Linked DNA regions of Macaca fascicularis. The protein of the gene in region 3 interacts with the protein of the main gene of each other region in a pairwise test. Links are inferred from orthologs where the notes say so. Each region holds a gene or a part of one and is shown on either strand. Other genes may lie near its edges.

Region 1 (3,366 bases), on a different chromosome or scaffold from region 3:
CAAATGAGGCAATTGGACTGTGCTGCAGCTAACTGCTACTTACACATCAGAGTTACCCAACATATTTATCTATCCCCCTGACCCAGGCTGACTGCATCAGCATCCCTGGGTGTGGGCTGGGAATGTGTCTTTTCAGCACGCTTCCCCAGCAGGATAAAAGTGCATCTGTAAACTGAGAGCAGGAAACCAGGGGGCAAGACTGTCAACTCATGAAGTCAGGGACATGTTTAATTCATTTGTGAATCCCCTAGTACTGGCACATAGAAAGCGTCCCATATTATTTGCAAAATGAATGAACGAACAAATGAGCAAGTAGGTGGATGGATGATTCTGAGGTCTCCTCCAGCTTTGACAGCCTACGACCGTGTGACTCCTGCATGTGCATGAACACACAGACACAGACAATACACACACGCACAGACACACATACACACTTGAAGCAAAGAGGGATGAAGCCTGCCACACTGCAGGTGGTCCTAGCTGCCTGACCTCCCTTCTTCACACACTGACACACCTCCGTCTTTGTTGACCTGTATTTATTGTGCACCCATTGGGTGCATGGCCTAGCCCCAGGACCTGGCCGGAGACCCAAACATGGCCTCCAAGGGCCAGCCTTCCTTTGTGGAGGTCCAGGCCCCAGAGCTGATTACAACAAGCATGGGAAGGGAGGAGGGTGGCCCAGCAGGAAGGCCGGGGAGGCAGTGCGTCAGCCGGCAGGCAGCAGTGGGTAGCAGTGCCCCTCTTGGCGGGCAGCCTACTTGCACACTTGGCTGAACAGAGACAATGGTGGCTGCTCCCTCCGGCCCAGCCTCCTTCCTACAGGCAGAGCCCCAAGTCCATGAGTCTCCGGAACCTCCCTCAGAGAACAAGTCCAGCTGGGAGGCAGCCAGAGGGCAGGACGAGGAGATTTCCCAGGGGAGAGCAGCAGAGACCCTCTGAGCTGCCAGAGATGGGGAAGGGGTCCAGGCACCCCACAGGAAGGAAGCTTTAAGGCATGTGTAGGAAGGAGCACAGAAGAGTCTCCCAAGCCTGGCCTGGGCCTCACCTGGTCTCCAGCCTCCATCCCATCCCCCACAACTCTCCTGAGCCGTGGCTCCTGCCAGGCAGACCCCTAAGGGAAACTGTCACCACCTTTTACTGCTCTATCCTGTCCAGTGGTCTGAACCTAGAGAACCTCCTTCCCTGCTCTGTTGGAACAAAGGCTTCTTGTTCCCAGGGTTCCAGGGTTCGCTGCAAAGCTCTGGAGGCCCCACCCCGCCCAGCCCTCACTCATGCCACCAGCCCTGCTCTGTTGATGGGCAGTTGGGTATGTGAGACTGTTTCATCTGCTTCAGGGGAAAGGACGACTGTAGGGGGAAAGGAGACAAAGGCACGGGGCCCCACAGCCATGCGGAGCCCTTGAAGCCCCCCAAGGTCTCTGCCCAGAAGGCTGTCCCTTCAGTGGGCAGGACCTTAGCGACTCTGCTCCCTGGGTCACAGGAGGCTGGTTGGGAATCTCTCAAGAGTCCCTGATTCACTCTCCTGGGGCCTCCCCAGGAACGTCAGCTAATTCCCAGAGCAAGACCATCCTCAGGACTGTGGCTCCCCTGGCTGGGTTGCCCAGGGGCCTCTGCTGCCCCAAGCTCTCCCCCAGAAGCCAAGGCCACACCACGTATGCACTGGTTCTCAAACAAGTGCTGAGTTCCCAGCAGGTCTAGGAAATGAGGCCAGTCTGGATTCTGGGGCCTGCAGGGTGACATGGGATGAGCTCCGGGAGGAAAGTCAAGTCCTCAACCTCCCTCTTCCCTTGGGCATGGCCAGGGACTGGGGCTCTGGAGGGACTGCCATGGGGGTGGGGGGCAGCACAGCAGTATTAGGAAAGCTTCAGTGAGCATGAGAATAAGGGCCACAGGGAAATGAGGTTTGTCCTTCAGCAGGGAAAGGAGGTGCCTCATCCATCATGGTGGACTCATTGAAATCAGTCTCCTCCAGGGAGGTCCATCTCAAGTGTACCGTGGAGCAGGGGCCAGTGTCTCCGAGGTGGTGCTGGCTTCACAGCTGATTGCGGTTCCGCTTGGGGATGATCTTCCGGTAGGTTCTGCGCTCTGAGATGTTGCGCTTCACCTTGGCTGTGGTGGGAGCCTCATCCTGGTGCAGGGACGGGCTTGAGTGGGACTTCTTCAGGCTGAGCTTGGGCTCCTGAGTGCCTCCAGCTTCCCTCCCCAGCTGCTCCTCCCACAGGTCCAGAGCATTGGAGGGGCAGTGCAGGCGGGCCACCAGCAGCTCCACGTAGGTCTCGTAGCGGGTTTTCTGCAACACACAGTCCCCACCACCTTAGCACCATCCTGGCTCCAGGCCGGGAGGAGGCTGGAATCGTGAGGGACAGCTCTCAGGTACTTGAAGCTAAGGTGATACAGACCTCTGCAGAAAGAGGGCTGGACCAACAGTGAGTGTCAGTATAATGCTTGGGCAAGCAGACTGCAGAGCACACCTCTGGATAGTATTATAATGACACATATCAGCCCAGCCCTGTTCTAATAATAACCAACCCCTTGGAGTGCTGTAACTAACATCTCTATGCCACGTTCCATCTTTGAGGCACTAAAAGATGTGTCACCCACTATGCCTGAGAGCTTTGCAGCCCTACACACAAACAGCTCACATCTGTACAGCCCTAATTGGGTCTGAATAGCATTTTAACAATTGGCATCTGTGGAGCATGATGCTCACCACCCTCATCTGCTTAACACTGTACTACTAAGGCCCCTGCAGCTAGCATCCTTAGGATATGGTTTCCAGTTTACAAAGTGCTTCCTCACCCTCCATCCCATTGGATCCTCATGCCAGCCCTGGGAGGGGCACAAATCATTGTGGAAGGGAGGGCTGGTGGCTTGCTAAATGTCCTAGCTGGTCAGTGGGAGGAAGAGGTTGGGTCCTCACAGCCACACCCTGAAGCCTCTGAAAAGTGGGGAGTTCACAGCCATGGATACAACCACCAAGCTAAGGGATAGGCTGGGGCCTTGAAAGAGGCAGAAGGCTGCATGAGGGTGCCGTGGGGACAGGCAGGAGGCAATGTTGATTCCCACTTCCTGGGTCTCTGCCTCTGGGTGGCCTCTGATTCCCTCTATTTTCACATTGCATTAACCTATGCTTCCTCCCCAGTGGGCCCTCACCCTAAGCAGGCACTCAGGACCCCTGAAGCAGGCACCCAGTGTTAGGATCCCGGATGAAGTGATGTGACACCAAAACAGAATTGGGGAATGTGGGTGGATGGGTGAGGGTTGGGGGAGACTAGGGGATAAAACATTTCAACATGGGCTGTAGAGCCAACAAAAGTCATTACTGGCCAGGGGCAGTGGATCACACCTGTAATCCCAGCACTTTGGG
Region 2 (4,199 bases), on a different chromosome or scaffold from region 3:
CTGCAACAAGACATGCCTGCAGCGAGTGACGTCCCGCTGCCCTCTTATCAGACACACGTCTATGTGATCACAAGTCCCTGCCTAGAAAAGACGCTGACCCACGGGGCGCAATGGTCTACAAAGCTGGAAATGAAGGTCTGCTTGATTCAGTAGAGGAGGAGGCATGCCAAATGTTGACAGCATCGAGCCCTTTTCCTTAGTTGTAAGGCCCTCAGGTCTTTCCAAGGGCGCACTATTAGCGTTTAATCACAGCCTCCATGCTGGCCAAGCATTGGTTGGCTTCGGGGCTCCGCTCGGAAGCTCTCCCTGCAGCTTCTCTAAAGAGCTGGAGCAATGGTGGGTCTCAGACTAAAGGCGATAGCTTTGCAAACCGCAAGCACACCCGCCAGCTCAGTCCAGCGGGAGCCCTGGGGGAGGGCAGATGCACTCACGGCAGCTTACATGTGAACCGCACAGAGCTGGGCAGCGCCTATCTCATGCAGAGCTCATTTTTAAGCGGCAAGGTTATAATTTCTAGCCTTAACGTTGTCCATCTTGATTTTCTCCTGTCAGTTCCTTCTTGTCCACTATACTGACCACATAGGTACAAGGTGAAAGAAAAGAAACCCACCTGAAATCTAGGTCAGGCCACTGAGTGTGGGAGAGAAGTGGAGGGCAGTGCCCAGCAGAGCGGGGCAACCACAGTTCCACAGCTGAGCGAGGGGAGCCCTGGCACTCCAGGCTTCTGGGGAGCAGCCCTCCGGTGCCTGCAGCTGCCTGACATGGAAGCAAGCACCCAGGCCAGCGTCGGGTTCACTCTGCATCCTGGCTGGGCACTTCTGGGGTGGGTGACCTTGGTGCAGCCCCTCCACTTCTTGGGACAAGTTTCCTTCCCAGTAAAATGCCTACAGTCACCCTGAGCTCCAAAATCCATGAACCCTTGCGTTCCCTTAGGTTGAGAACTTTAACTCAGTTTTGCTGGAACCGCGGCATTCCAATCAACACACAACCGCCTCCCGACAGACATGACCCAAACGCAATAGAAACCGCAGTAAAGGAGGAATGACACAACATACTGTTATTATTTTTATAAACACGCTTTAAACCAAACTAGGCCATAAATCACCTTGGTTTCAGAAAAAGCCAAAATACTGACACCATCTTTTATTTTCCTATTAAAGTCAAGAATGTGTTAATCCAAATTAATTGAAAAGGAATTGAAGCTCATTTCCTAAGACACGTCTATTCATAAGTCAAACAGCATTACCTAACTCCTAGAATGAGGCAATTTCTGGGCTTAGAGATCGGCCTAGTGCAATTCACTCCTTTGATGGAAAATCAAATCCCAGGCAGTCGACAGGCCAAGGTCACAGAGGCAAAGTAGGGATGGGAACCAGCCTCCCTGAACCTGTTTCCCACAAAGGGCGAGGCTCTGGGCCCGCACGCAGGCAGGCCGAGCTCAGTATCTGATGGTGAATGAATGTAGCGAAGTGGAGCTCCCCACAGGGCACGGCTCTTGTAACTGCTTCACAAGTAAGCGATTTCCAGGTTATGGAGACATCCTAGTACAGAATTAAACGCTTCAAACTCAGACTTTTAACTCCTCAGAAGCCAGAGTGGTTTCTCAGCCCTGGCTACATCAGCTAACAATCTCGCCAAGCAAGGCACCAAGGGGCAAAGAGATCACCTCCAGAAACTCGAGTGTTCCTTCTGCTGACAGAGGAGCAGCCCGCCTGCGGCCTTGTTCTGTGTTTACATCAACCACCCAATTCACCCATGTCACAGACCTTCAAAATACGGACTTAGGGACAAGGCAAGGTCTCCAACATCAACAGACGGCTGCAGCACCCTAAGAACACCAAAGATTCCTTTTCTAGGTGGGTTTAGAATGGCAGCCAACAGAGGTAGCACTTGGGGTCGGGAAACGGTTTTGACTGAATACACGCACGAAAGCAAAGGGAATTGGCATGCAGAGGTGGGTGGGGAGGGGAGAGTGAGGCCTGGCTTTGAAGCTGAGCTCCCCGAGGATGATGCCAGGCACATCGGGTTTGGGGCTGAGCGTTCAGGGCTGGGGGCCCGGAGGAGGGGGCCAGGGCCCAGGCCTGGGCGGAAAAGGGGGTCCCCGGGGATCGGGGTGGGGTTCCGGGGCAGGCGGGGGGTGCTCTAGGGAGGTGTCTCACGGCGGGCACAGGGGGTGGGGAAGTCCCGGGGAGGGGGATGGGGGTCCAGGCGGGTCTCGGGGCGGGGTCTGGGGGTCCGGGGCGCCGGGGCGAGGTCTGAGGTCGGGACAGGTGTGGGTCCCGGACCCGGGGCTGGCTGGGGGTCCGGGACGGGGATGCGGGCGGGTCCCGCGGCCCACGCACCTCCTCCGCCTGCCTGCGCAGCGCCTTCTCGCGCTCGTACTGGGTGAGCAGCTGCTCGTTGTCCTCGCGCAGCAGCTCCAGCTCCACCTCGTGCTCCTGGTTCTCGCTGAGCACTGAGTCTAGGTTCTCCAGCACGTTCACCACCAGCGGCATGAGCTCCTTGACCACCTCCTCGTCGTAGCAGTGGATGAGGCGCTCGAACTCGCGGTAGATGGAGCCCGCCAGGCCCGACACCCGCTCCGACATCACAGAGCCGGAGCAGTAGTCGTCCTGGTACACCACCACGCCGCCGCCCTCGTCCATCTGGATCTCCATCATCGCGGCCACCGCCGCCGCCAGCGCGGCTCGCTATCTGGCCGGCGCGCCCGGCCCTCCCCGGCTGCCTCAGGTCCCGCAGGCCGCGGCCCGTCGCCTCCCGCAGCTGCTGTCGCCTCAGGGCTCAGCCGCCGCCGCTGCCGAGGAAGCGCCCGTCACTCATTCGCCGGAAGTCCCGCCCTCCAGCCAGAGGGGGCGGTGCCCGCGCGCCCAGCCGCAGCCGCGACGCCAGGGGGCGCAGGGGCCGTGACGTCAGAGGAAGCCGGGCTTCGGGCCGGAAGCGCGGCTGAGTTGGGCAGAGGGAGATGTTCTCCAGGATGGTGGGATCCGCGGGACGGCGGTGGTCGCTATCCCCAGCGCGCGGTAGCTTAAGCATGTCCCCGCCACCCTGGGCTTTCGGTGACCTCGGTCGCATCTCCGGGCTCTGCACACACCGGCGACTTTAGGTGAAGGCTCAGCGCCTGCGCCTCCACCCCGGCCGCCCTGATGAGCCTGCGTTCCCTACAGCACTGCGCCCCGCTCAGTCCACGCCCAGCGCCTCCCTTCCTAGTGCCTCCCCTCTCCTAGTGCCTTCCGCAGTCAGCTGGCTCCTCCCGGGATTCTGTGAATGCACCCTCAACGCCCATCTCATCCTGAAACCCAGCAGCGTGGCCTCCTTCCTTTCGCCCACTTGTCCCTAACGCACTGTGTGACTGCTTCAGATTTTCGTGGTTTTTTTTTTTGAGATGGAGTTTCGCTCTGTCCCCCAGGCTGGAGTGCAGTGGCGCGATCCCGGCTCACTGCAAGCTCCGCCTTCCGGGTTCAAGTGATTCTCCTGCCTCAGCCTCCGGAGTAGCTGGGATTTTTGTACTTTTAGTATTTGGTATTTTAGAGACGGGGTTTCGCCATGTTGGCCAGGCTGGACTCAAGTGATCCGCCCGCCTCGACCTCCCAGAGTGTTGGGATGACAGGCGAGAGCCACCGCGCCCGGCCAGATTTTCGGTTTCCTTTCAGCTATGTGCAATCTGTTTAACCCATCCATTGGGTTATTAATTTCAGCGATTTTTTTTTTTTTTTGAGACGGTGTTTCGCTCTTGTCGCCCAGGCTGGAGTGCGACGATCTCGGCTCACTGTAACCTTCGCCTCCTGGGTCCAAGCGATTCTCGTGCCTCAGCCTCCTGAGTAGCTGGGACTACCGATGCGCCATTAACGCCTGAATCTTTTTTTTTTAATTTTTTTTTATTTTTAGTAGAGACAGGGTTTCACCATGTTGGCCAGGCTGGTCTCGAACTGCTGACCTCAAGTCATCCACCCGTCTCCCTTGGCCTCCCAGAGTGCTGGGATTACAGGCGTGAGCCACTGCACCCAGCCAATTATTCTATTTTTGTCCTATTTGATTTCTTATATTCTAGCAGTTTTGATAGGCTCTTATACTTCCAACCACGTATTTATCTTTAAGCTTTGTGTGTATGCCTCATAACTACAGTATCTGCAGCCTTTGCAGGTCTGATTCTGCGTGTCATCCTGGTTGACTCTTGGCTCAGGCTCCCCTTTCCCCCGTTC
Region 3 (4,326 bases):
CTGTGGCCACTGCTGTCAGAGGCTGCCAGCCCAACCTGGGGTGGGTGAGGACTGCTCCCAGCTCCTCCCATGGCAGAATCCACCAAGACCTCTGCGCTAGGAATGTGGAGCTCTGCCTCTTAGACGTTCTGTGTCTGGGGCCAATGACTCCAATGCTCAGAATCTCAGTTCCTTTGTCTCTAAAATGGGCCTGCTCTGTCACCTCACAGGAGTCAATGAGAGAATGGAAGCAAAAACACGTTGTAAAACAGTTACAAAAAAAGTAGTTACCATTTACCAAAGTCTTCCTCTATGCCAGGCAAACGCAATTTCATTTGATCCCCACAAACAGTTGGAGGCAGGTACTACTGTTATTTGCAATTTACAGGTGAGGAAATTGAGACCTCATCACGAGGGACAGGTGGGGCTCGGCCCGCCCTCCTTCAGGTCCAGAGGCTCCAGGACAGCACTCTGGGCTTACTGGGGCCTGGAGGAGGGAGAGAGGTGCTCCTCTCCTTTCCTCCAAAGGTGCAGACGAGCTCTGGGCCCCCAAAACCCATCTCACCACAGTACTAATCATGCTGGCGGCGTCCCAAGGATAGGCAGGGGGAAGAGGAGCAGGGCAGAAGAAAGCCACCAGTTAGGAGGGAGCATTATTACCAATAATCTCCTTGATACTCCTGCCAGGTAAGAGTTTTTATCCCCATGTTGCAGATGAGGAAACCAAGCATCAGAAAGGACAAGTGACTTGCCCAAGATTGAAGATGGCAAGAGAAATTCTCGGCCGGGCGCGGTGGCTCAAGCCTGTAATCCCAGCACTTTGGGAGGCCCAGGCGGGCGGATCACAAGGTCAGGAGATCGAGACCACAGTGAAACCCCGTCTCTACGAAAAATACAAAAAATTAGCCAGGTGCGGTGGCGGGCGCCTGTAGTCCTAGCTACTCAGGAGGCTGAGGCAGGAGAATGGCGTGAACCCAGGAGGCGGAGCTTGCAGTGAGCCGAGATCGCGCCACTGCACTCCAGCCTGGGCAACAGCGTGAGACTCCGTCTCAAAAAAAAAAAAAAAAAAAGAAATTCTCTTCCACCATCCAAAGTGGCTACCTCTTCTGCGTCCCCAGATTCAGAGATGTTTCTTTCTAGCCTCCCTTCTCTTGCCAGCCCCCCTTCCTTCAAAACCACTTCCCCGGGGGCTGCCCTGCCACACTCCCGCCCTCATTCCTGGAGAAAACCGCAGGATTCTCCCGCTGGAACAGATGGCCATTCTCAGAAGTTCTGGTCAAATCTTGCCAGTTTTTAAAGGGTCTATTTTGGGAGGCAATCAGTGTGATAAACGGTGCATCCCCTGGCCCACTGGCCCAGCCCTAATGGGTCTCTGACACCACCCCCCACCAGCAGGCACCACCCCACATTCCCAATGCCAGTGCCAGTCTCAGTTGGGAGGCGGCCACAGCTGAACAACAGAGTGGGGCCAGAGGAGGAGCAAGGCGGGCCCTCTAGGCCCAGACACGCTGGCATTCCTGGGACCAGGGAGCTCGGGCTCCCCTGGTGGAGCCCTGTAAGGCCAAGAGGGAATGGGGTGAGGGGGTGCTGTACTGTCAGTTGTTTCCTGATGAGGGGAGAGGCTGTGGCCCGAAGTGGCTGGCAGGGAGGTGGGAGTGTGCAGCAGTCCTGGGTTCTGGCTCCAAAACCGGCAGGAAGGTCTGTGTGACCCCAGGCAAGCCACTCTCTTCTCCCTCCCAAACAACGAGACCTGCGACCTGCGCTGGGCTGGTCTTCTGGCTTCAGGGGAAGGTGCCAGGAGACAAGTTCCTTGAGCGTAACCAGAGACAGGGAGAGAAAGAAGCCACAGGGAGGCCCCTCCCAGCCTCCCAGACGCTCCAGGGAGAGGTGACAGCGAGTCTGCCGTTGGCCTGGGCGCCCAAGGGACTTTAGAAGCCCGAAGGGAAAGGTGCGAGAGGAAACAGGTTTCAAAAATAGTTGGGACGCCAGGCTCGTCACCTGGACCCGACTAGAGGAAGGGACGCAGGGGTCTAGACCGCCTCATGTAGGGCTCTCCCGAGGCACCCCAGGCGGGGCCTCTCTCCCAATTTCAAGTACGTACCTGCGACCCCGGGCTCACACCTGGGTGGGTGTCTGGACACCCGGAGTCAAAAGTTGGCCCGGTGGGTCGGACAGGGGGCGGGAGAACGGGCCAGTGGGCTCCCGCCCGCCGCAGCCGCTGGCTGGGGCGCAGGGGTGCGGGACGGGGGCGTCTTTCCAAGCTCCTGCGCCCTTTCCTCCTCCCTCAGGCACCGACGACCAGGGCCTGCCTCCCCCTAGCTGGCCAGGACAGCAGGGCGGGAGGTGCCGCGGGTGGCGGGGGCCTCTTCTCCCAACCTGCACCCCACCCCATGCCGGCTGCACCTGGGGACCTCGAGCTCGGGCTCCTTCCTCAGCGCTGCCCCTCCTCGCAGCGGCACCGAGCGGCCGGGGAGTAGGTGCGCAACTTGACCCCGGCCGACCCCCTGCCCCGCAGGGCCGGGAAAGGGCCACGCCGGGACCTGAGCGCCGGTCAGGCCCCGCCTCTGCCCAACTTGGCCGCACTCCGGGCGCCGGCGGAGGCCCCGCGCGCCGACCCCGGCCCGGCCCGGCTGACGCGCGCACACTCACTGCGGTGCCGGCCGCCGCCCCCCCAGCTCTGCTTGGCCAGGCTGGGGCTCCGGATCAGCGCCCGCCCCGCGGACTTGAGCGCGTCCATGGCCCGCTCCGGCGCCGCCACCGCTGCCGCCACCAAAACTCCGTCAGGAAAAACTTTCCGCCCGGCCCTGCAGCGCGCGGGCTGCGCGCTCCTCCCCTCCCGGCGCGAGCTCCGCCGCGGCGTCCGACGGGGCGGGGCAAGGAAGGACAGGCCACGCCCCCAGGCGGGCCCCGCCCCCGACCGCCGATCTCGCCCCGCCTGGTCCCTGTCCAGGCCCAGGGTCCAGGCCCCAAGAGCTTCTGAGGCCGCCCGAAGGCGCCAGAAGATAGCGAATCGCAAGCCCCAGACGCCCCCGCTTTCCTCCTTCTCCCCAATCCCCACCCCGTAGGAGCCTGCGGGTCTGAGAGCAGTGGCCTAGATTTCCAGTGACCATTTTACAGATGGGGAGACTGAGGGCTCCTCCAATGGTGAAAGGTCTTGTTCAGGGACAAGAACAATGCGATGTCCAGGGCAGTGGGAGACTTAGGAAAGAGTGGAGGCTGTAAATCAGGGATATCCAGACTTTTGGCTTCCTTAGGCCACATTGGAAGAAGTGTCTTGGGCCACACATAAAATACACTAACAACAGCCCATGAGCTAAAAAAAAAAATATATATATATATATATATATACACACACATATATCTCTCAAAAGAAAAAAAAAACTCATGAGTTTTTTTTGTTTTTTTGTTTTTTTTTCCTGAGACACAGTTTTACTCTGTCGCCCAGGCTGGAGTGCAGTGGTGCGATCTCGGGTCACTGCAACCTCTACCTTCCGGGTTCAAGCTGTTCTCGTGCCTCAGCCTCCCGAGTAGCTGGGATTACAGGCATGCACCACCATGCCCGGCTAATTTTTGTATTATTAATAGAGATGGAGTTTTATCATGTTGGCCAGGCTGATCTCGAACTCCTGACCTCAAGTGATCTGCCTGCCTCAGCCTCCGAAAGTGCTGGATGGCTGTAAGCCACCGCACCCGGCCCAAAAAGTCTCATAATGTTTTAAGAACCTTTACGAATTTGTGTGGGGCCCCATTCGAAGCCGTCCTGGACCTCACATGGCCAGTGGGCCACAGGTTGGACAAGCTTGCAGTATAGACCCTTGTTAGGCGCAGGGTCGGTATATAAAAGTTTGCCCTTACTTTACTCATCCACGTAGCTCCCTGGCACCACCTGAGCATGCTGGGCCACCCCATGCCCCTGCAACTTCCCAGGTAGCCTCAGAAATGGTATGATCTGGAATGTGCCCCTGACACTGACTTGCTGTGTGACCTCAGGCAAGTCCTTCCCCTCTCTGAGTCTTGTTTTTCTGTGAATGAGAGTCAATGCTATCTCTAGTGATCCTTCCAACCTGCCAGGGTCAAGAATCTGCATGACCTTGACCCTGACCCCATGCTGCTTCCTAGGAGCATTCGGAGGGCAGTCTGAACCCCAGAACTGCTCAGGCACAGATGTTCTAACTCCAGGATTGGAAGGATTTATTCTAACTCTCTAGGATGCCGTGCCTTCCTTTCAAACTGTGCCAAAAGTAGCCAGAGGGAGGACACACACATCCAAGCCACAGCCTGGCTTCTTTTAGAAGAGGGTGCCGCAGGCAAGGCCAACTTCAGCCTCTGTAATTACTCCCAGCTCAG

Evidence for each region.
Region 1: the proteins of LDLRAP1 (region 3) and PSD4 interact in binary tests that used the Homo sapiens proteins (3 or more experiments, as listed by UniProt). The two-hybrid records come from large-scale screens. The link is inferred for Macaca fascicularis from reciprocal best matches to the Homo sapiens genes LDLRAP1 and PSD4.
Region 2: the proteins of LDLRAP1 (region 3) and MAPK8IP3 interact in binary tests that used the Homo sapiens proteins (3 or more experiments, as listed by UniProt). The two-hybrid records come from large-scale screens. The link is inferred for Macaca fascicularis from reciprocal best matches to the Homo sapiens genes LDLRAP1 and MAPK8IP3.

The regions. Positions count from the first base shown.
Region 1 is NC_088387.1:20,210,458-20,213,823, reverse strand, and holds the end of PSD4 (PH and SEC7 domain-containing protein 4), read right to left. Parts: intron 2,290-3,366; coding exon 2,032-2,289; 3' UTR 522-2,031; downstream 1-521. UniProt on the Homo sapiens protein: Guanine nucleotide exchange factor for ARF6 and ARL14/ARF7. Through ARL14 activation, controls the movement of MHC class II-containing vesicles along the actin cytoskeleton in dendritic cells. Involved in membrane recycling.
Region 2 is NC_088394.1:2,471,311-2,475,509, reverse strand, and holds the start of MAPK8IP3 (C-Jun-amino-terminal kinase-interacting protein 3), read right to left. Parts: upstream 2,823-4,199; 5' UTR 2,661-2,822; coding exon 2,343-2,660; intron 1-2,342.
Region 3 is NC_088375.1:209,615,485-209,619,810, forward strand, and holds the start of LDLRAP1 (low density lipoprotein receptor adapter protein 1), read right to left. Parts: upstream 2,830-4,326; 5' UTR 2,717-2,829; coding exon 2,629-2,716; exon of another isoform or gene 2,081-2,628; intron 203-2,080; exon of another isoform or gene 1-202. UniProt on the Homo sapiens protein: Adapter protein (clathrin-associated sorting protein (CLASP)) required for efficient endocytosis of the LDL receptor (LDLR) in polarized cells such as hepatocytes and lymphocytes, but not in non-polarized cells (fibroblasts).